3 linked regions of the Rhinolophus ferrumequinum genome follow. The protein of the gene in region 1 interacts with the protein of each later gene in a biochemical or structural test. Links are inferred from orthologs where the notes say so. Each region holds a gene or a part of one and is shown on either strand. Other genes may lie near its edges.

What was found.
Region 2: of the proteins of MYLIP (region 1) and LDLR, one has a biochemical effect on the other in vitro, tested with the Homo sapiens proteins (4 studies listed by BioGRID, with this or other methods). The link is inferred for Rhinolophus ferrumequinum from reciprocal best matches to the Homo sapiens genes MYLIP and LDLR.
Region 3: the proteins of MYLIP (region 1) and CNPY2 form a complex in vitro, tested with the Homo sapiens proteins (2 studies listed by BioGRID). The link is inferred for Rhinolophus ferrumequinum from reciprocal best matches to the Homo sapiens genes MYLIP and CNPY2.

The regions. Positions count from the first base shown.
Region 1 is NC_046292.1:78,574,871-78,582,739, forward strand, and holds the start of MYLIP (E3 ubiquitin-protein ligase MYLIP), read right to left. Parts: upstream 3,230-7,869; 5' UTR 2,991-3,229; coding exon 2,904-2,990; intron 1,807-2,903; coding exon 1,616-1,806; intron 1-1,615. UniProt on the Homo sapiens protein: E3 ubiquitin-protein ligase that mediates ubiquitination and subsequent proteasomal degradation of myosin regulatory light chain (MRLC), LDLR, VLDLR and LRP8. Activity depends on E2 enzymes of the UBE2D family.
Region 2 is NC_046301.1:39,348,628-39,356,919, reverse strand, and holds the start of LDLR (low-density lipoprotein receptor), read left to right. Parts: upstream 1-4,990; 5' UTR 4,991-5,013; coding exon 5,014-5,200; intron 5,201-8,292.
Region 3 is NC_046293.1:55,633,028-55,640,905, forward strand, and holds the start of CNPY2 (protein canopy homolog 2), read right to left. Parts: upstream 3,242-7,878; 5' UTR 2,743-3,241; intron 2,177-2,742; 5' UTR 2,152-2,176; coding exon 2,064-2,151; intron 1,908-2,063; coding exon 1,792-1,907; intron 939-1,791; coding exon 735-938; intron 577-734; coding exon 480-576; intron 120-479; coding exon 76-119; 3' UTR 1-75. Other genes in the region: PAN2-PAN3 deadenylation complex catalytic subunit PAN2, read right to left, coding at 4,474-4,508, 4,840-5,037, 5,302-5,395, 5,523-5,702, 5,834-5,977, 6,074-6,231, 6,826-6,916, 7,115-7,174 and 2 more. UniProt on the Homo sapiens protein: Positive regulator of neurite outgrowth by stabilizing myosin regulatory light chain (MRLC). It prevents MIR-mediated MRLC ubiquitination and its subsequent proteasomal degradation.

The sequences.
Region 1 (7,869 bases):
ATAATAGTTATTAACTCAATTACAAGAAAGTACAAGACCGTCTAGTAGTAAATTTTAAAGTCTGTAAGCATTCATTATACAAATGTATTATATAATTATAACTGTAGCCATTGTTTAAAAGATGTATTTGCTCTTCGAAGCTTCTACAGATTTAAAAAATATATTTGTGTCATCAAAATAGATTTGCATCTGGAGGCCCTGAAATGACTGAAAATCATTATAAAAGTACACAATGAAAATTCCAATATATTGTGATATATATATATATTATATTCTTACTTGACTGCCAGTTATCACACAGAAATGCAAAGTGGAACCTTTCACAAATCAGCTTTCAATAAAAAAAAGAAAACCCTCAACCCATTCTGATTAATACACAGCTAAAACATCGTTAAACATGTAATCACTTGAATATTTTGCAAGACATTTTCAAGAGCACTAAGAATTTAATATACCAGTTCCTTCAGAAACAAAACTGAACATTTCCCTCACTCTTTAAAGCTCTATAATGAGACAAAGCAGAGATTTCAAATTCAAATAAACAGTATTTCAAAATATGTTTCTATCAGTCTTTAGGTAAACAAACAAAAAATGTCATGTTAAAACTCTTAAAGGTATTGTTTACTCATCATTACTCAAATTTTCACATTCACATTTTTATGTACAAGAAAATTTCCAAGCCAAACAATTATGGAAAACATTAGAATTTAGAGCTAAAGTTTGCTGTATTTAGAATTAGTTGTTTTTCTTAATTTTTTTTTTTAACATGCCACTGTAAGATTTAGGTCTCTTGCATTTCAGCAATAAATGTTCAACACTGCTTTCCTAGTTTTCTCATCCTTTAGAAAAGTATTCCAGTCAGCCCAGAGAAGAAAATGTTTTCGGTTTGCAAGAGAAAAACACCTTCTCTGGTTTTCTACCACTACTGGTGGTGTTCTAAAGCGATAAATTTAACAATCTAAATGCAACAATAATATATAACATATCTGTGGGATGGAGTTTGGTTATACTGTTCTTAAAAGAGTTCTCTAAGTTTTCCAGAAACTTAAAAACTTTTAAAATTCTGCATTAAGTCGGACAGAGCTCTTTGCTACACATTGTAATCTGACACTAGCCTGAAGAAGTTGACCAAGTTTAAGAAGGGTTTCCTGCTTTCTGTTAGAACAGTCTATAGTGACCTATAGTAACACTGCTGAGAGGCAGGGGTTACTCTGGGGCATTAGCTGCTGCTATCAGGAAGTCAGTGGGTCTTTTCCTTCCTTCCTTCCTTCCTTCTTTCCTTCCTTTCTTCCTCTCCTCCCACTGCCCCCCCACCCAGCCCCGCATCTGCCATTGTGTTTGTAAGAATTCAACCCTGCTCTCCCATTGTCTATAAAGACAAGAAAAACCACAAGAAGAGTTGGAAAATGTACCCCATGTCAACTATATAGGTCCCTGTTCACTTTGATATAAGGGCTGCGCCATGGAAAACTTCGAAGTGATGAACCAACTCACTCTTCTGTATCAAAACAAATTTGCCTTTGTTTTGCCTAAACATCTCTGGGAAGGTGCAATGACCCTTTCTAAATGGAACCAAAGGCCTATTTGACATTGGTTTATTTAAGCATCACTTTACCTAGTCTGCTCCTGTAAGATGAGATGAGGCTCCACGAAGAACTTGACTCTCAGTTTAAGCCGGTAAGGGGCTAGCCCATCCATCTGCTGGGAGATCCGGTTTCTCAGATTTAGCCATAAACTTTCACCTTTGCTACCCGTAAACTGCAGTCCAAAATAATCAACTTCTATAATTCCCAATCGCCTGCACACCTGAAACAAAAATGAATGCAGCATGGATGAGCAAATGGTCCATGTGGTCAAAGTAAACCCAAGGACTCCACTGGCTCTAAGATTTCTGCCTACTCTTTACAAAGTTCAACAACAGTGTTACAATTTCTGTTGTAAACTGGAAGAACAAAGATCTAGTGATGCTAAACTACTAGGTGAAGCATAGAAATGTCCTTTAATACTCAGGACACGGCCAATGGCAGTAGAGAAAAAGGAGTCCTCAAAAGCAGCCTTCCAGAAAGGCTGAGGAGGGCAATCTCAGGGAATTTTCCTCCTTATTCTAATCACCAAAATTCCCTCCGTCAACACAAACGACACAGTTGATTTGGCAGCTTAGTATCTGGACAATTTTAACCATCTGCACTACCAAAAAACAAACACATTGAGGAAACACGCCACAAGTGTCAGCTAAGCTTTGAAAGGGTTTTCCAAACATCTCAGGTCTAGGGGGTTTGAGAGCACAGCGTTTCACTTGAGATCAAATCTGCTGTCTGCCCTACCAATATGCAGTTTGGAACCGTTCTTCGCTCTTAAAGAAACGCGTGCTTAAAGACAAGCGAGGAGTAGATGCCAAAACGGTACTCTCGTCCTCGCAAACCCGAAGATGCAGGTGAATGGTCCATTTGAGCAGCAGCAAGAGACACGGGCCCGGCTTGTCTGCCAAACAACCTGAGAGACCTGTGACCGCTTCCAGCCACCTCATCCCGGGACGCAGGTGTCGCTGGCAGGCCCCGCGGGGACCCGACCGGCGGCTTCATGCACACACCTGCGGCAGATGTTCTGGTCCGCCTTCTTCCGGGAAAGTGCCGAGCTGGGGCGGGGGGATCGGGGGACAGGGTGGCCGGCCACCGCGCGCGTACTCTGCGGTTTCCCACGCGCTCCCGGCTGGGAGGCCATGTGCCCCAAGCCGGTGGAGTAGGGGGCGCGGGCCGGGCGCCTGGGACGCGACCCCACCCCCCCACCCCACCTCCGCCCCCACCGCAGCGCCGCCCGGCCCCTGGCAAGCGGTGCGTCCCAGGTGCACTGCGCCGCCGCGAGGCCCCTCGGCCTAGGGTCCCCGCCTGACCCCTCGTCCTCACCTGGTTGAGGCAGTCCTCGCCGTTGGCTTTCGCCTCCACTTCCACCTCCATCAGCACCGCGTCCGGCCTCGTCACATAGCACAGCATGGCTGGGGCCGCGGCTGCCGCCACAGCCGCCTCCTCTTTGGTGTGAGCGGGGCTGCCGCCTCCCCACCAATCAGACCCAGCCCGGGTCTCAGTAAGGCTGGTCCTCGGGACGCTGCCGCCTTGCAGACCCTTGTCCTGCGCCCCGCGGCCGCCGCGCCCTCCTGCCACCCCCTTGCCAGCCCGCTAGCCCACCGGCTCTCAGAGTCTCCACCGCGGCGCCGCACTCCAGCAGCCAGACTGCCTGCGCCGCGACAGAGACTCCTCTGATATAGTGGCTCCGCCCCCTCCGGCTGGGGTCCCCGCCAATCACAGCGGTTCTGCCCCGCCTCCGCTGCCCCGCCGGCTAATAGAGGCGCGGGATCGGCCGCGGCCCCACCTCCCAGCGCCGTCTGCTTTCCGGGGCTGCCTGGGGAGGTGGCAGCTTGCGGGCGCCGAGTACTGCGGGAGGAGGGAGGCCGGGAACACACCCGCTGCCTCTGCCCGCTGGGCGACGCTACTCCGAGCGAGCGACCGCCACGGGCTCTGAAGCAGAGTCGCCTCTCTGTCGGGCTTGAATTTACAGTGATGAAACGCCCTGGCTCACTCCGAAATGTATTTCGGGAGGTGAAAGCGAAAAGGAAAGGGAGCAACCCAAAATCCTGAGGACAACTATTTTTTCCTGGGGTTTGCTACCGTGGGTTGTCCAAAGGCCGAATGGTTGTTCCTCATTTCAGACCTAGTCACGGAAAACTCGCATCTGAGTATAAAAGTTTTGGCAGTTGACCAATAAGTCAGGGAGCTTGATCTAGTGCTTCTGTATGAATCCTCTCCAGAGGCTTCTAGTTACCTGTTCTGTTGAATCAAAACACCTTATAAGGTACTAAGGCCCTCTCTCAGGTTGCCCATCCTATCGCATGTCTTATCTCATTCACTCATTAAACATTAATTGAGCATCTGCTGTGCTGCCGATCCCTTCTCTCAGGCAACCAAATGTTCTCCCCGTCTTAAAGGTAAGGGACTCATCTCAGAACCTAACAGGTGGTATAACCTCAGTAGTAGCTATTAATTATTCAAGGTCTACAACTCTTCATTCATTTACTACTTGTTCCTCTCTGCCAACACATCATTCAGCCTAGTTTTTTGGTTTCTTTATAGGAGAAGAGAGCAGATGTTGGTTTTGGCCTTGAACCCTTGGAAAACTTAATTCATCTCTCTGAAGCTCGGGGTTCTCAACAGTGAAATGGAGATATCTGCTCTGCCTGCTTCCCCTCCCCACCCAGCATTACTGTGAAGAACAGCAGAGATAATGTTCCTAAAAGCATTTGAATGACCCTGTATATGTGTAATGTCAGTTCTGTCATTGCCTGCCAATGACTTCTGTCCTTACTCTTTTGCCTGAGTCCCAGTTATCTCTGTCCCAGCAATCTTTTGGTTCTGAAGAAGTAGGAAGGATGTCAGAGCAGAATGCTACAGGGAAGGATACTACCACAGTCTTTCACCAAAGCCAACTATGGGGAAAACTGTAAATAGTCAAAAGTCCTGACCTCCAGGGCTGCAGATGGCCATGTGCCCCTGAACATGTGTCTTTTGGATACACCTCGCGATACTATGTTGCTGAAATAGACCCATCTTGTTTCCCATTCCTTTAATTCCAGTTTATTTATCTGGAAAATTGGTCTGGAAGACAACATTTGGATGACTGTTATCTAATCTATGCTTAATCACTAGAAATTTTAGACCTAGGGAGAAGAGGTGAGGGGCAAGATGGAAGCAAGGTGCATTGGTTAATATTTTTGTTTACTGAGAGACTAAGCTGGCCAAATCAAAGTCAGCTAACCAAAAGTTGGCTAACTTCAGCAAAAAGGAATTTAGCACACAATTTTGGGGAGCTTATAGAATCAGTGAGGACTAGGCATGAAAATAAATAGAAAGGGAGAAATATTGGTTGGCCAAGAGCAAAAATAAACAAACGAAAATAAAATAAGCAAAAATTAAATACTCATTTTGTAGAGAAACAACTTTAAAAATAAATTATGTTTTTGATTTTGGCAGGCATATTTCTAATCCAAGACCAGATTATGCTCCTGTTATGAGATGGTTGGTAAAAAAAAAAATCCAGTTGTTTTAGAAATTAAAAATTATCAGATAAGACTGAAGAGGAGAAGGATTTCTTAACACAAAACAAAAAAAAGCAGGAAAGCCAAAAACAGGAAAAACATGGCATTTGGGAGGGGGGAGAGATCCTGATAACTGAGGAAAAAAGAATACTGGCTGCTATTAGCATACACAGGAAATACAAGACCAATCTCTCTCTCTCTCTCTCTCTCTCTCTCTCTCTCTCTCTCTCTACCTCTCTTCTCCCTCCCTCTCTCTTCCCTCCCTCTCTCTTCCCTACCCCTCTCCCTCCCTCCCTCCCTCTCCCTCTTCTCGGTCCTCATTTCCTCCCTGAGTAGAGCTAGGTTAGTTGGGGTAAGGAACAGTATGCTCAAAGACCTGGTTAGGGACTAGAAAGTCCACAGCAGAATTTCTTCCTAGAGGATCCCACCATCTGGTCCTGCTACTAAAGGTCTAGAGCCAGTTTCAAAAGCCCCAGCTGGGCCTAACTCCAAAATAAGAGACTCTGACACCCTGGCCTGGGGGTGGTAACTGTATTGGATCAAGCTGTGACTCAAGCAGTTCTGAATTAGCCAAGGAGGTGCTACATTTTATCTGTCTTCTTTCCTTTGCTCTCAAATAGCTATCACCTTTTAAAGACAGCATTAAAATAAACCAGGGAAGTACAAGGATCAGCTGCATGAAGGGAGATTTTTTTAAAATAGAAATCATAACTAAGTGGTAGAGTCAGCTAAGCCAGTGGGGTCCTGGCTGTTCAAAATCACCCAAGCAGCACAGTTATTCTGTTTCATAGACTAGGGCTAAAGACTGAGCATAAGCTAACATTTGCAGAACGTGATGTGATGGCTGTCTGGCTAAGGAATTTTTCTTCCTGTTGAGCACTAGGTCTGATCTGGCTGGCTGGATACCTATCCTTGTTCATTCCTCTCCCAACGCTGCACACACCCCTGCAGAAACCCTGTTCTGGGTCAAAGGAAAGGCGCTTCTCTTTAGCTCTCAATGTTCATTTGTAGAAGCATGAAAGGAAGAACACTTAGAGACTGCCTAAAAAACTGTCCGTTTGCTTTCACACGTGATTCAAGCTAATTATTCACATAAGCAATATTTAATTTTGCACAAGTGTGTTAGAATTGTCGAATGAGCTGAAATCTCTCATTTGAAATTCTGGAGTAGGTTAATTAACCGTGGCCTACCATCAAAGCAGAGTTGTCGCTTCCAAAACTGGCTGTTTGAAGAGTGAATGAAGGGATGGAGGAAGAAGAGGTAAAGCCCATATTACAAACTTTGGAACATACCAAACAGCATCGTCTTAGTTAGTGAACAATCGCAATGATTTTTTTCTATTTGTGAGGGTAGTTCACGTTCATGGTAGACTACTTGGAAAAGGCTAAAAAGTACAAGGGAAAAAAATGCTCCTGTAACTTTATCAGGCATTTCTAGTTCATATTGATGTTTCACTTTGGTACTTTGTATGCAATGTGCTCTAAATTTTGATTGTGATAAAAACAAATACAGCACATAAATTTCTGGAGACATATCAGGAGAGCAAGAAACACAGGGGGTGTGCAGTTCCAAATCCATACCTAGTGTTATGACTATCAGGAAAATTATAAACAGAAAGAACAATCATTACGAAAAAAAATTAGTATTGTTTCTGAGCTGTTTTCTTTTCTAAAATACATACAAGCCTTTCCTCTATTTGTTTTTCTTCTCACTACTCATACCCTGAAACGTCAGATTTTTGTGATATGCTTACTTTGGCATGCATCATTTAGTGGAGAGACGCTCAGAGCTGGGAAATCATTTCCAACTTGGCACATTTTGTTTAACAACAAAAATATTTTGCTTAATATTTTGATACCTGTTATTTTAATTGTGAAGATGATCAATAATAATTTGGCCTGTGTTGTTACAGGTGCTCCTCAAGTCTGGGGATATGCAGATACTGATCCACCTCCAATAGGGTTCACTATCACGCTGATCTTGAATGAGATTCGGTGGGTGATGGGTATGCAATTGGGAGCCATGGAACAGAGGACAGACCCAATCTGCCTGAGGCTCAAACTCACAAACCTGTCCTACCTGGAAGGTGTTCTAATCAGTTGATCTGTAATAACACCTCTCCCCTTCCCTCACTGTGTCTGAGCATGCCTTTCTGTAAAGGAAAGTGGGGCCAACATGACATATTTTGTGGATGGGTGTGACACAGAACTCACTGGGGATGGCCACTTCCCAAATCAGTGGGACATTAGGGAGGACCAACTTCCCAAAGAAAAAATGAACAATGATTAGAAATGCTATAGAAATACCAAAAGTACATGAAATCAGCTACGTATGTTGGACAAACCACAAGATTTGAATAAACAAGATAGAACAAGATAAAACTATGAATGCTTTGGCATGAGGCAACTTCTCACTAAACTTCAATTACACCATCTCTGCCCAGCTCATTTATTGTTGCTGACATTTGTAGAGTTTATGTCACTTGATAGGAAAATCTTACTCCTCTTTCAGTTATTCAGTGTTTTGCTTTGCTATGTTCTTAGAGACTGTGATTATTTAAAAATGACTTGACAGCAAAGGTCTGCTTTCTCCCTGGCAATCACTCAGTGGCTATAAGTACCCAGCCCTCTATCAATTGCTTTTTTCTCCCTCTTCTCTCCCCTGGTTCAGAATTCCTGGGAGAGGTCAGTCAGGAAGCTGTCTGCATCTCAGGGTGGGGGAGGCAGCTTTGTCGCTTCCTACTTGACATGAGAGAGCTGAACCTTGGACCCAGCCCTATGTT
Region 2 (8,292 bases), on another chromosome or scaffold:
TCCAGGTCCAGTTGCCATTTTCTAGTTGCAGGGGGCGCAGCCCACCATCCCTTGCGGGAGTCGAACCGGCAAACTCGTGGTTGAGAGGACATGCTTCAACCAACTGAGCGATTTGGGAGCTCAGCGGCAGCTCAGCTCAAGGTGCTGTGTTCAATCTTAGTTGCAGGGGGTGCTGCCAACAGTCCCTTGCGGGACTCAAGAAATTGAACTGGCAACCTTGTGGTTGAGAGCCCACTGGCCCATGTGGGAATCAAACCGGCAGCCTTAGGAGTTAGGAGCATGGAGCTCTAACCATCTGAGCCACCGGGCCGGCCCAAGGTGAGTGTTCTTGACTTAATAAAAAAAAAGTAAAGTGTGGCCAGTTAGCTCAGTTGGTTAGAGCGTGGTGCTATTAACACCAAGGTTGCCGGTTTGATCCCCACATGGGCCACTGTGAGCTGCGCACTCCCAGGAAGGAAGGAAGGAAAGAAAGAAGGAAGGGAGGGAGGGAGGGAAGGAGGAAAGAAAGAAAAAAAGAAAGGAAAAAAAAAGAAATCAGATGCTGAGGTTGCTAAGAGCTACGGTAAGAATGAATCTTCTGTTCATGAAATTGTGAGGAAGGAAACAGAAATTTCCTTCCTCAAACTGCAAACTATCTCATCTTAACAATATTAAGCCTTCCAATCCATGAACTCAGCATGTCTTTCCATTTATTTATGTCTTGTTTTATTTCTTTCAGCAACATATTTTAGTTTTCAGTGTACAAGTCTTTCACCTTCTTAGTTAAATCTATTCCTAAGAATTTTTTTCTTTTTGGTGCTATTATAATTGGAATTGTTTTCTTAATTTCCTTTTTGAATTGTTCTTTGCTAGTGTGTGAAATGCAACTGTTTTTATGTGTTATTTTACATGCTACAACTTTGTTGAATTTGCATATTATCATGTTTCCCCGAAAATAAGACCTAGCTGGACAATCAGCTCTAATACGTCTTTTGGAGCAAAAATTAATATAAGACCGCATCTTATTTTACTTTAATATAAGACCGGGTCATATAATATAAGACCCGGTCTTATATTAATTTTTGCTCCAAAAGACACATTAGAGCTGATTGTCCGGCTAGGTCTTATTTTGGGGGAAACGGGGTAGTTCTAACAGTTGCGTGTGCGTGTGTGTGTGTGTGTGTGTAGACTCTTTTAGCGTTTTCTACACATACAACTTCTACTGCTTTTCTACCTCTTCCTTTTCCATTTGGATGTCTTTTTTTTTTTTTCCTTTTTGGCTAATTATGCTATCTAGAACTTCCAATACTATGTTGTTGAATAGAAGTAATGAAAATAGGCATCCTTGTCTTTTTTCTGATCTGAAAAAAAATCTTTTTGCTTTTGAACCATGGGAATGTTTTCAACTCTTCAAACTAAATGCAAATATCCTTTTTCTCTAGTAGCCTTCCACTTCTCATACTAGAATTGGCCTCTGCATTCTCAGGCACTGCGTGGCCTTGTGTTTATAAGTACATCCTGCCTTGCTCTCTCTCCTGAAGTCCTTGAGGACAAGGTGATATCTTGGTCAGTGTGGGGACAGAGCCAGGAGTGCAGTTTCCAGGCTCTCAGCCTCACGTGGAAAGGTGCTGGCTCAGGTAGTAAATGGCCGTCAACTGTGATTGGATGGCCATCAGCTGTGGCTAGTTGGCTGTCAGCTGTAACCAGTGAGCCATTGGCCACTAATATAACTGCTATGGCCACGCTAGCAGCAAATGGGGACTAGCAAGCAGATGGTGGCTGAGCTAGCAGGAGCAGACTGCAGTTAGCATGGCGGATTACAGCTAGCAAGGAGGTAGGTTGGCAGAGAAGTGGACAGTGGGTTGCAGATCGTGTGGCTCCTGCTTCCTGTGTCTCCAACCCAGCTGCCAGTGAGACTATAGTGGTATGACTCCCCTATCTATGGCTCTGTGGGTGTTCCTTTTTGACCTCACCATGTCCTGCGTTCTTATGTGGGGAGCGGGACCAGAGACCCTGCATGACATCCTGCATGACACCCCGCATGACAGTCAGTTTTGAATCTCCCCCAACCACCGACTCAGGGCTGTCTCTGTGTTCTCAATATAGACTTGTTATCGAGTCTAGAGTTCTATTTGAAAGGAAGGACTCACAGCCCAGGACAAAATTTGAATTCCAAATTATCAAAATCCCAAGGACAGTGGAATTTAGAAATAGCGCATCTCTGATGTTGCAGCCACTCCCATGATACTTTCTCTTATTTTCATTTATTTATTTAACCCTTACTACAGACAGGTGCTGGAGATATAAGCCATGGTCTCTGCCCTCACGTGGCTAACAGGTATTTTATGGAGATAATTGATGGCAACCAAGTCAAGGCAGGTCCCTAATCGCACCTATTAAAAAGCACCAAGGCACCTGTGGTTGGTTACTCACACTCTCTCTGGGCCAAAGGCCAGACCGCAGCTGCCATGGCTCACCTCTGCCAAAAGGCCTGACTTCTTTGGGTGGAGCCTTATTGTAGTCTGAGCCTCCTGGTGACTTAGCGAGGTGAAAACCGGGATAAGGCGGGCTGTCCATTAGAATAAGGAAAATGCCTAGCCTGGGTTGTTTTACACGACTTTGTAAGCCCAGGAACTTTCAAATGAAGCGGATTCCAGGAAAGGATTACTTTTAAGTGCCTATGAGAAAGAAAGTCTTCCTTGAAGAGAAGAAGGAAAAAAGATGCTGTTGTAACACTAAGACAACCAAAAACAAAAAGCGAACCCATGTATGGTGTTTATTATGCCAAGCACGGCTCCAATCACTTCATATACATACATATGTAAATTCACTTAATTCTCACAACCCTCTGAGCTAGTTGCAGAAGAGCAATGATGGCTCCATAGAGGTAGAAGTTGAGAAATGAATCGGCGTGACCCCTTCACAGGGTACTATGTGACCATGTCCATGTGTGGTGTTAGGGACAGAAGGGGCCTCACGATTTCCGCAGGCAGGTCAAGAGAACTGGGGAGAACCTCAGCAATGTTCTTTTCAGAGTTTTTGTGGCCCTTTTCCAGGCCTGGCCTTACATCTACATAGGACTAGCTCCGGAGACACATTAAGCTAAGTTCCCTTCCTGAAGAAAACCTCTTCCTGGTCACTCTTTCCAGGCCTGTGAAGAGGAAAGGACCTCCTACCCCCAGGTGGTTAAGAGAAAGCTGGGCTCACAATAGAAACAGAGCACAATATGTCTTGTACTTTTTCTGAAAGGAAATCAAATCTATGATCCTAATTGACTGAAAGAAAATGTAGCATATGGTATAAGGGATGGAATTTAATGGTGACACATTGAAAATTTTGCAACAACTCCCAGAACTTGTCCATCCTTGTAAATTTATGTAGGTGATGGCTAATTATTGCATTTGACTCTGACACTGAACCTGCCAAGTAAGGGAAACAGGCATATTTTCCAGGTTGTGAAAGCTAATTTACTCACCCATGCTCTGTCTGATTCTGGAGTTGGGGCTCTTAACTGCCAAACACTCTGTTTATAAATTTCTTCCTCTGGATTAATCACCATTTTTCTTTCCAAGTGTTCAGTTGTCCCCTTTCTGTCTTCTCTCATGGGTTTCCCCATCAGCGTACTAAGAGCTTAGCATGCCCCGCCAAGCTCAGTTTGTAAGCCCCAGAGAACTCTGCTCATTCTTGGGGGAACCCTCCAAGAAGTCCAGATGTTGTGGGAGCCTTTTTTGGCAAGGGGCCATTGGCAACTGCAGGAATCCCACAAGAGACTCTGATTCTTAAAAGCTGCTCTCTATCAGCTCTGTTCGCTATTCACTTGACCCAGAAAACCCCACAAAGTCATGCAAATCAAGAGATTCAAATCTTCGTGTTCACTTTAAAAACACTCATGATACTGCACAAGCCATCAAGGGTATGCAGATCTAAAACGCCACCAAGTATGTGAAGAATGTCACTTTATAGAAGCAATGTGTGCAATTCCATCTTACAATAGTGGACTTGGGAGGTGTGCCCAGGCCAAACAGTGGGGATGGAGGAAAGATTGGCGGCCCAAAGAGTGATGAATTTTTGCTGCACACACCTACAAATGCAGAAAGAAACGCTGAACCTAAGGGTTTTGATGTAGACCCTCTGGTCATTGAGCACAGCCAGGTGAACAAAGCTCCCAAGATGCAGCGCAGAAGTTCGTGGGCAGGTTAACCCATAATGAGCTCTCCCTGCCACATTGAGCTGATCTTAACTGAAAAGGAGCAGATGGTTCCTAAACTAGAAGAGAAGCTTGCCCAGAAGAAAAAGATACCCCAGAAGAAACTGAAGGAACACAAACTTATGGCCCAGAAGTAAATTCAGCATCAAATAAATGCTAATAAATAATTTTAAAAATGTCCAGACTCCAGGTTATGGGTCAATTGATTTTAAAGACGTTTTTGCTCCTAATTCATGTAAGTGCCGGATCCCACCAAAAACCTGTTTTTGGCTGTACTTCTGTGAGGATTTTATTTAAATGCCTTATTGATTACCATTTATACTGTAACTTGGAAAAGCTATCTAAAAACTATATAGGACTGAACTCAGTTGAAATCTATATACAATTCCTAGAAAGGAAAAGGCAGTAGAGAAAGGAGGGGGGAAGTTTCCAACATTTTTAGTTTTTCCTTTTGAGGCAGAGGGGAGACTGCCGTTAGACAATTAGATGTTTTGGAAGGACAGACGGTTTCATCTTTGGGCACCAAAGAGAAAGGTAGCAATTAGAAGTTAAGGGATGCTTAAGGAGGCACTTTTAGAAGGCACATTTCCAGTTTGGGGAGGCACAGTTTTTCACGGGCTACCCACATTCGACAAAGCAAGGAGCCCGCCCTGGAGCGGCTTTGGAAAACAGTGGAATCCGTCAGGGCTTCACGGGTTAAGGGGCCTATGTCACATCAGCCGTTCGAAACTCCTCCTCTCACAACTCCTCCTCTCACAGCGAGGTGAAGATATTTGAAAATCACCCCACTGCAAACTCCTCCCCCCTACGAGAAACCTCTCATTGAAATGCTGCAAATGACTGGGGCCCCGCATGCAGTCGCCGCTGGGCTGCGCGAAGCCCGGGTTTCCAGCGGGGACACTGAGGACCGCGGACAGCGGATAACGGCCTGGGCCGGGGCGTTGCTGGAGGGGGCTGGGAGCATGAGGCTGTGCTGGTCCGTCGCCCTGCTCCTCGCCGCGGCGGGGGCTGCAGGTAAGGCTAGCTCCAGGCGCCCGCGCGGGGTCAAGGTGAGCTCCTCGAACTCCGAGAGCCCCGTGGTAATTTTTTTTTAAGGGAAAAACGAAAAATCACTCCATCCTTGGGAGACGTGGGGGGAAATGGTACGAAGTCCTTTCGAAACAGCTGAAGGGAGAGTAAGGGGCGCAAGGGTTTGGGGAATCTGGAGGAGTCAGGCGAAACGGGATGCGGATTTCCCCACAAGTCTCCGTGAAGGGGGGGGATCCCCTTGTCTCCCTCAGAGCAAGGCACGAGTACCTCCAGCCCTGGGGATGAGGGACCCCTTCCCCGAGTTATTTTTGGGACAAGGGTGACGCGAAGCCCCGCTGTTCAGCCTGGAGGTCCTGCAGATGCTCCTCCGCGCCCGCCCGCGGGCAGGAGTTACCGAGGCGGCCTAGTTGGCTTTGTGCTGCCCGAGGGCGCCACTGGCTCTCGTAGCAGAGCAGAACGCGTGGGCCCCGACCGCTGCACGCGCGCTTCTGCCGAAGGCCAACGCCTCCCACCCCGCCCCCCGCCCCGCCGGCCCGCCCCCGATCTCCCATTGGGCGCGATTCAAACAGGCGAGCCTCGAGCCTCTCCTCTTGACCAATGGGAGGCGGCTACTGCGGAGGCACGCTGCATGGGGCGGGGCTAGCTCGGGATTCGTGGGGCACCTCGTTCTGGGTGAGGCGGGCCGAGGAGATTCCTCGTGTGGGATCCCGGCTCCTGTCACAAAGGAGGCGACACGCCCCAGGCCCCTGGATCCGCCGCCGCAGAGCGCCTGGTTCTCTTTGCGGTTTCCTCCGCGATCTGTGGCGAGGGCTTCATCCCCACTTTGTTTTCAGGGCCTCCCTCCTTCGCCTGCCCGGGACTAGTCGCAGACGTGTCTTGGTTCCTTCTGAGGCTGAAATGCCGGTCCCTCCTCGGACCGGCACTTAGGGGAGGAGCAGGCACCGGGATCCAGCGATACCCGACGGACCCCTCAGGGTTGCCTAATTTGTCCAGAGACTCTAAAGAGGTTCAGTTGAGCTGTTCACATGGCAAATTTTCATTTTAGGGGATTTCAAATTTAGATTTGGGCAAGTGGCTAGTTGGTGCATGATCCTGAGTGGTTTTTAAAAAATGAGCGTCCAGAGGCGTTTGACCATGCCCTAGGTAATAGATAAACATGGGCCTTTTCCTATGTTGAACCAGCTCAGCCCATAAAAGGACTGGGATTGCCTGGTTAACGGGATTGCAGGAAGTTGTTTTTATGGGGGAAGGGGTTGGCTTTGAGTAGAGAGCTTTGAACTCGTGGAATGCCTACCTGTGACACATGGGTTTCTGCCGGGAAGGGAGAAACGGAGGGAGGTTGCCCTCACATAGCAGAGGACTGAGGTGATAATTTCACCACCAGTTGCGTGAAGTGGAGGGAGCGTGGCTTGGTCAAATGACACTTGATTAACCTGTAGTTCATACACCGATTGACTCCTTCCCTAGAAGGAAATAATGGCAATGAAGTCTTGAGCAAGATGTGATGGTTACTTTAGTTTTTTCTCTCACTGGGTGGCTGGGGATCTATCTCCTTTTCTCAAGGAAGCTCTGAGTCCTGATGTGTTCCCCAAACTCCTGAGAGCGGGCAGCTACTTCTCTCCTCCCGAGCAAACAAGATGCCCTACATTCGAAGCAACCCTGGCTGCCCCAGTTTGCTCCTTAGCTGTCTTCAAAGCATTTCCGGGGAGGAGGTGGGAGATTGTCCGTTTCCTTTGTGAGTGAAGTAGTTGGAATCTGAACTGCAGGCCTTCACTTAGCCAGATCAAAATCTTTTAACAGTTGTCCTACTGGAGCAAAGGTGCAATAACAGCCTCCATAAGGAGAAGGTATCTTAAGACTGACAAACAAAGCAGGCGACTCTATAGAATATAACAGAATTTATTATAGGGTAATTTACTTAAGGGAGGATTGCGTCGGAGTGGAAGAGAAGACCCAACGGTTTGGCACAAATTGTTCTCTGCTGAAGACTCCTGTTACTGAACCTTTTTTTTTAATAGTGTAACTTAGGTACTAATGACTGATAGATAAGACAAAGGGACAATGCAGTAGTGCCATACCTCCTGTGGTCCATATTATCCCAGTTTGATACTCATCTCAGTTGTCATCCTGGCCATTACTAACAAAAGTATTTATGGTTAAATTTTAAGGAACAATGGATACTCATTAACCAGAAGGCTTTGATATGCTTACGAAGGACAGTGAGGTTGGTTAAAAGTCACAGCATGAAGGGACACAAAGATGGAGATGGTTTTTTGTTCACATCTACATGTATACCACAGTTGTGAATAGAGTATCAAATATGCCAAGGGCATACCAAAACTCCAAGAGAAAGTAATGTCCTCCTAAGAGTTGTATCTGCTTTAGCAACTTCTTCCAGGCAAACTGGTAAAAGATAGGGAGAGCTTTTTGGAGACTGCAAACCTTTAAGGGGAATGATGTGCTTCATTCTTTCTTTCCAGGCTAGTCCAGCTCTTATCTGTAGGGTTCCTCCCCTGATAAGATCCAATTCTAGAGCCTTTGTTGCTCATGCTTTGATGGTCCCTTCACATTCTGATTAAGTACATTAATAACATCCACACTTCACCCAGTTGTCAAGCAAGTGACCATTTGTTGCTAAGAACTGCGGAAGTAACCAGCAGTGAACAGTGAAGTGACAGAGACAGGCTACTGCTCCCCAAAGTTGCTGGCAACAAAATCAACCTGGGGATAGAGATCACTCCTGGGGAAAATACCCTTGGCATCTGAGTTTGGAAAAGAATCCTGGTATATTGATTTCCCATTCATTTTCAGCTAACTCTGTTAGTTCCAGCCATTTATTTTTTTTCCAGGAAATGATTCTATCTATAATTTTGATTTCCCTTACCACAACTATCTTCAGTAGCACGGGACAGCTAACATCGAAAGCATTTGCTACCTCATTTGTGCACTGGAGAAAAAGCAGAACTGTGTATTCTCCTTTTCTGTTTCGATAACTTTGTTCCTGATTGGTCACTCCTAACAAGAGAGATCTAAGGGCTAGAGTTTAGAGACTTTTTTTGGAGTGCTTATGTAATTTT
Region 3 (7,878 bases), on another chromosome or scaffold:
ATAAAAGGCATTGCCACCCTCTTCCCCTCCTGGGGGTGATCCATCAAGCCTGTCAGTCTGGGCCGCTCCAATGGTTCATAGCTCATCATGCGATATGTGCAGGGCATGGTCACATAGATCTGCAAACAGCACATAACAGTTTGAAGGAAAATGCCACTCTCATACTGATATATGCCACTATCAAGAAAATACTCCAAATCAAACTGATACACATACCAACCACCGTTTTTCAGAGCATATGCTTTTAAATGACAAAATATTCCCATTATCCTCTCACCTGTGCCTCAGGTGAGGGAACCACAAATTCTGAAAGCCGACAGAGAATAGAGAGGGACAACCCAACTCCCTAAGCCATGGGTAATGGAAGATAACTCTTGAGCTAATATCAGAGGGCAGAGGGCTGGGGGGGGCGGGGGGGCACACTAAGGAATGTACCAGTTTCTACAGGACTGTGAGGATAGAAAGTGGGAGCAGCTTACCTGTTCGCTTACTACAGAGTTTGTCTTTGACATTGTCAGCCTCTCGGGAGAAGAATTCAATGAGTTCATCCTCATATTCTTCCACAATGCTCTCACACTGCCAACCCAAGGGAGAAACGAGTGAGAGAGGGCAGCACGAAGAGGCCTCTTGCTTCTGCCTCCAGAGAGGACAAGGGTATTAACCCAACTTTCCACTTGAGCTCTCCAATAACTCCCCTAATTTCTAAGAACCAGCTACCCACTTCCATAGCTCACCGCAAACTTGAGGGTGCCGCTGATGTCTGAATCAATTCGGATGCCCTGTAGGTCCAGTTCATTGGATTCTCCATTCCGGCTCACTACACGTACATAGTTCTTGCGGTGGGTGGAAGGATCAATCTGTTCCCCATACTCCTTCATCCGGTCACATACCTCCTCTAGTAGCTCTGTGAGGTGGGCCTCTGAGCGAGCATAAGGCACCTAGAAATGTCCTCAGCCTTGGGTCACACTCTTCTACCTCTGTACATTAGTAATTTATATCCTTTTCCTTCCAAATCTAGCTATTCTAAAAAGCTAAATGCTAAAAAGCCTGCTCTATTTAAAAACAGTATGGTTTATTTGTGTAATTTCAAAGTGCTTTCAAATATATGGTCTTATTTTACCTCAGTATACAAGCCTAAGAAATAAAACAGGTGTCATTAGGCCCAAATTATAAACAGAGACCTCTTTGATTAACCCTAGCCAGCTATGTATTCTTTTCCTTTGAATTCCCTTAATTCTTATGGGTGTAAGGTAATGATTTTATTTTTATTTTTTGTATTGAGACTAAAACATGCCCTCAACAAGAGAGGATTAGAAAGGTAGTGTAGGCTTGAGGAAAACAACTATTAAATCATTTCACAAGCATTACAACCTTAACATTTCTTTATTGTTCACTAAGCACAGCTTTGTTATATGTGTGTTCTGTTTTCAATTAAAATAAATTTCCTAAATACAAGGAAGAATAAGACCTTCTGTTTCTTTTTTGAATGTTTGTGTGTATACTGTATTGCCATAGTGAAAACATGAATCACATGGATTAAGGATGTGGAGAAGGGGTTCCCTGTCTGCTAACAACTTCTACAGCAGAAACAAAATATTAAGGTTTGGAACCAGGAAGTAAGTGCATAGGGTATAAGCCTTCAGCCTTTTCCACATGAGACAGCCGTATCTTTTAGATACCTCTCTGGGTCAATGTTTTCTTCATTTCTATTAAACCAAGCTCCTTCTTAATTAGTTGAGTTCTCATTCAAAGTCAGAGTGATCTACTTTATTTGGGGGAACAGTAAGTTACCTCCACCACTGACTGGCTGCCATCTGGATTGATTCGGAAAGAGCCCATCTGAATGGTCTTCTTGGGATCCACCTGGGCAATTTCCCACTCTAGTTCATCCACCAGAGCCCTGCAAGCTGGTGCAGGGGGAGAGAAGATGGAGGAGGAGAAAGGGGGAGAAAGGAATCAACACAGGGATTTCCACTCATTCTTATCCAGACTTTGGATATCATGTCCTCCCAAAGCCCTGTCTTCCCCACCCTCCTTCCTCCCACTTCTCTTTGTGTCTTTACCTCCACAGTGTAGATCCTGGCTCCTCCGAGCCCAGGCAGTTCCCAGCAGGGCCCCCAGAAGCAGGGCCAGCCAACCCCAGCCTTTCATCTTAAACGTAATGGGGTTGCTCCACCTGGGTTTGGATTGGAATAAGGCGTAAGTATGAGGAGCCAGCTCCATTCCCCCAACTTATCCCTCATCCCCATGCCTACAGAGGCCTCAGTGTGACTCTGGTTTTACTTTCCAGGAAATGGCCGGGACACAAAGGGGCTCCTCTGTTCTGGTGCTTGAGGACCCGGATTACCCCGGGCGGTGAGGGAGAGCGCGAGCTCAGGATTTAGGACTCAGCCCCCAGACACTACGTCGACAGGTGAGGCCCTAGCTGTTGGTACTTCAGCGTCGGCCGCCTAGAGCTCACGGGGCTATGTGGCAGCTACAAAACGGAGGCTGGCGATTAAGCGAGGACGAAAGGCACAGAGGAGCTACCAGCAAGGAGGCCAGGAGTCAGTGAGGTGGCTGGCCCGCGAAGAGTACGCTCAATAAGTAGGGCCTATTTGGACCCAGCATTGGAGATTACTGCGTCCCCACCTCCAGCCTATAACCTATTTCCCGTGCGGACCAGCCCCCTTTCTAAGGACCCCTCCATTGCCTGCGCTCCAGTCCATCCCCGACCCTCAGCGCCACTCGCATCCGTCCCACCTCTGCTCCCAGGGCCGCCGCCTTGGCCCAGGCGCTGGAAGACGGTCGTACTCTCACTTCAGCTCTGGACCTAGCACCTGGCTAGGGGGGAGCGGGGCTGTCCGGGCTTCTCCAGAGCAGTCCAGAGCTTTTCAGACACGGGGTGGCCCGGCGACCGCCTGACCCAGATCCTCGCACCCTAAGTGGGCGCCTAAACCCGGCTCCGATGCTCTGCGGTGCAAGCCCCACACCAGGGATCGACCCCAAACCCGCTCCTCTAAAGTCTCGCGCGGACAGGCAGCATCCGAGCGGCTCCTAGGCAGCGAGGACCCCAATGGATCGCAGAAGGACCCAGACTTGCGTGGCTTGCAGGTCCACGTGACCACCAGGGGGTCAGCCGAAGAATAGGAGTGGCTTGAAGGAAGGACAGATCCTGGCGTGGTGTATGGAGGTGGTCAGGCGAGCGTGTGTGGTCGGTGTAGGTGGGCTAGGTAGGACCTTCAGAAAGAAAGCGCTGCTAGCCAGTAAAAAGCCCTAGTTTCAGTACCTAGGAAACTACATCTCCCAAGAAGCACCGCAGCACCACATACTTTGTGAGTAGCTACAGGTCTCAAGATATCCTGGGACCTGTAGTTTGTCACCTTCCCCACGCCTCTTTTACAGTTAACGGGGAAACCATACTGTACATCTTACATCTTAAAAAGAATCTGACTTGGGGGCGGCCGGGTGGCTCAGGTGGTTGGAGCGCTGTATTCCTAACACCCCCGTTTGCCAGTTGGATTCCTACATGGGCCAGTGAGCTACGTCCTCCACCAAGGGCTTGACTCAAGAGTTGGTGAGGGAAGGGAGAAAAAAAAAAACTGCCTGAGGATACTAGCAGGCACAGCAAAGACCTAACATTGCCCAGGAAAGACATAATTATACTTCCCCAATATCCTTAACTTTGGACTCCACAAAGCTTTACCTTCGTTTCTGGGTGGGAATTTAAAAACCCTTAGGTTTTTCCCAGTTGTGATAGAAAACCAACAAAAAGGAGAGGAGGACTGAAGTCTGAGAACCCCACACTCGCAGGTCTCTAATAAGATAGATGACAGCCAATATTATTTTTGTTTTATTTTATAAAACATGCAGTTTAAAACAAAATTTTAAAAAATAACAAGAAAACAAAACTTGGGACAGGAGAGTGGAGTGGATGGAAGACAGATGCTTCTCAGCTGTCAGCAGGAGTGAAGCCAGCAGCCAAGCTTTGTCTAGGACCCAATGGCCCTTTTGGCAATGATGGTGTTGGCAATACTGGTTTGCTAGGGCCACCAAGAATACACACTAGCTCCTCTGGCATTCCTCAAGCAATCAGAGACGAGCTAAGTCTTGAGCTGCTGCTGTATCTAGTCACAGTCCAGTACTTCAGTCCTTAGCCAACTAGGAACGGGGAGTTTTGGTTCCAGGATCTTCTTTGCCTGGATATTAATCACTCAGGATATTTATTAAGAATACCAATCAATTTTCCATCTGGGTCAATTCTAGACTTTTTCTGGCCCACTGTTTTACAAAGGATGAAAAAATAATCTGGCTCCTAGACCCTTTGCAACAATTCTGCTGCATTCCAGTTCTATTAATAGCACCATCTATAAACCCTGAGCAGGTCCAATTCTGGAAGTGGACAGGGTATGGCCAACTTGGGAAGCCATCTCCCAGTTCTGGGACCACAGAACACTGAAGGGAGAGGCAGTAGTTCTTTGGGAGAGGGTGAGGTCAGAGTGCCAGCACTGAGGAAAAAACGGCTGCATCTGTCAGAGACAAAAGCAAGAGCATTGACTCGTAAGATGAGTGGAAAAAAAGTACCTGGGATACTTCTTATGAAGGAAAAATGCAAGAGGAAAGAGCATGGACCTGCCCCAAACATTTTAGAATTGGGCAAGAGGATGTTAGGACTAGTAGTTTGATAACAAAATCTATTTCACTGATTGTTGGGAGGATTAAGTGCTCTGGAAACTGTTGCGTGCTTTACAAATGTAAGGTAAGAGTGGTACTGTTCTCATCATTATGGTGGGTATAATCTTCACATATGCAATCAAAACCCACCCAGTCCAGTTTCCCTTGTCCCATCCCAAGCCTTACTCTTGGGACTTGTCTGGCCTTCAGGCTCAGGCACCTTCCAGTCCATCTTTCGGCCCTTCTCGTAAAGACCCTTGAGCACTTTGTGGAAGGACTCAGGTTCAGTGCCATTTTTGCTTAGCTCCAGATACTTTCGGTATAGCTGAAGGGCTGTGCGGGCATCCTCAATACTGTCATGGGTCTCCCCTTGAATCTTCAGGTCTGGGGGAAGCAGAGGTGGAATAGTTTGGGACCTAGCAAAGGAAGGTAAAACATGTCCCCTACTCACATCCCCAGCCCCGGATAAACAACAACAAAAATATGACTGCCCTTAAGGAAATAGCCAAACACCACTCCTGGTGCACAGAAGGGATATTGAAGCTAATTAAATCCATTAGTATCTCTCACCACTACTCCCCTTGGCCCCTCCAACACTTCTGCCTGCTCTTAATGAGCACAAGGGCCTTCAAAGGCAGAGCAACTCACCCAGAAAGTACCAAGCAAGGAATCGCAGGGAAATCATTCGTTTTCGGGGCATGTGAAACAGATAGACAGTGTCAAGGACTTGGTCCTTGGGCACCTGGCAGGGATAAAAGAATGGGAGGCTGAAGGTAGGAGAGCCATAATTTCCCATTCTCCAAAAGCATAATGTATACCCTGAGGGGCCCACACTCAAAAAAAGACTCTTAAAAGAGCCCTGCCCGAACCATGAGGTTGATGACCCGGAAGTCCTTCTGCAAACCATGACCCACAAACTTGACTCCAATATCTATGAGAAAACGAAGCTTTAAGTAGGTAGACTTGAGAGTTGTGAGGTGCTTAGAGGAAATCTTGGCATCAAGGTCTCCTGGCTTTATCCCTGAGTATTGAGTCAAGTAATCCACCACCTAGGGATAAAGAAAACAGCAAGTCTCCAAGGAAGCAAGGTGCCAAGTCCCCCCTACTCCTCTTCCCTGGGTTCTCTAGCACTCTACATAAGCACAGGGTCTGTCTCACTTGCACCTGCCTATTCTAATACCTGCTCCTGGGTGGAGATGTAGTCATCAATGAACGGAATACCCTCATTCGGTCCCTGGCCCCGAACACAGGTAATCCGCGCTACTGACATCTGGCTTGGTTTGATGGTAGACTTGGTGCCATCACTGCGCAACTCTGCTTCCTCCTACATGAGAAGAGTTAATAAGGAAGTCAGAGAAATGCTTCTGACTCCTAATAGCCCCAGAATTCTGTCCCAAAATCCACTTTTGGCCTTGGTTACCTCATTAAGGGTGACAAACTCAGCATCCAGGCCCACCAGGTCCCCAACCTGTGGCATCTCATTCAGCATCAGCGGAATAAAGGTAGTATGTGTTTTCCGCTGCTTCCGTGCCAGTGAGGCTTCAGCCAGCAGGACACTTGCCTCAATAGGGTTCTTGACTAGAAGGGAGAATCCGGAAGACAGATGGCTGGGGACAGGGAAGTGACCAGGGGAGGGAAGCCCAGGGTGGCTGACCAGAAACCAGGTCTACACTGTGATCCCTCAATAATCAAAGCATGTGAATAAAAAGATCATGTTTGATGAACAGAGCAGGTAGATGGAACACGTGAAATTATCAAGAAATATACTAAGGAAAAAAGTCAACAAAAGGAAAGAATAAGATATTTACTTTGGACTTTAGCTTAGAAAACCTAGAAAAATGAAGTTACAGAGAAACTATGGTTTAAAGTCACCAAAAAGGGACTTAATAAGGAGTTCACCTCCAAAAGAAGAAATCTTGGGGATAAGAATGATAAGACTCAAAATCATAACTTTAGCCATTTTTATCAGACTTTTCCCCCATAACCTCTTTCCCACTATACCCTCCGGATCTCCAGCTTCTAAATTTAAGGCCTTATAAGAAGGAATCTCTGTAATATCCTGGAACTATTAACACTGGTTACAAATCCTAATCTCAACAAGCTATTTCCCAGGTCTCTTTCTGAAGACCAATCTAAATTGCCCACACCATGGGTCCACTCTGTACCACTTACTGTTCAGATTATATTTGGAATTAAGATTCCTTTTGATGTAATAAAGGATGGCAGGCACTTTCCAATTCATATCAAACTGCACAGCTTCATGCTATAAAAGAAAAAGCACTGAATGGCCCCCTTTTCCTTTTTCCCATGTCAGACAAAAGACAGGACTAGGTACCATTTTTATTCTTGAAAACCCATCCCTCCTCCCTCCTGAATCTGCCTGGCATTGTCTAGGGCACCGAGGATGAGGATGCTAGGAAAAAGGGAGATGAAAGGGGGAATGCAATGTGTTATAACTAACCTTATCGATAGGTTCAATGAGAAAGTCATTGAAGAGATACCACTGCTGGTGGGTAACGCCCTATGGAGATACAGAGAAAGGCTGATGCCAAAGTGATGGCTGGAATCACTCTGGCTCAGACTGAAGATAAGGACAGACCTGGGATTCCATTGTGGCCACCACCAGGAGTGTCCCTGCCCTGTATTACCTCACTCACCTCCTTGCGTTGGTGGTAGGTCTCTCCAACTTTGATGTGAGCCACCAGGCTGCCCCCTGTGCGTGAGTCCAGGATGTGTACCACAGTAGCCATCAGGTCATACACATAGACACCATGCTCCTCCTCTGCCCTGGCTGGGCCCCACTGTGAGGGGGGTACCCAGGCTGCTAAGCTAAGTTTAAGGATGGGGAAGGAAGGGGAATGGGGATAGAGGACAGGGAGTCTGGGGTATGTGATGGGGGACCAGGGTGGGTTATCTCCATTCTAGCCCATCTGTGACTCCCAATAATGAACTGAGTCACTCTGGAAAAGCCCACGACTGGTAAATATTCAGCCGGATTCCCTTTTCCCTATACTAGGTTCCACCTTCCCCCTGCCCTGCCTCTGCCCCATCTTCCTCTCCCTTATTCCCCCTCCTCTTCCCAGTTTTCCAACGACCTGCATCTCATCCCCATCAGTCCAATTGCAAACATCCAGTCCTTTGTTCTTGGTCATCTTCATGCGAATGGAGAAAGGAAGCCAGACATTCTTCAACTCCTCAATGGAAGGACACATGAGCATGCCCTCT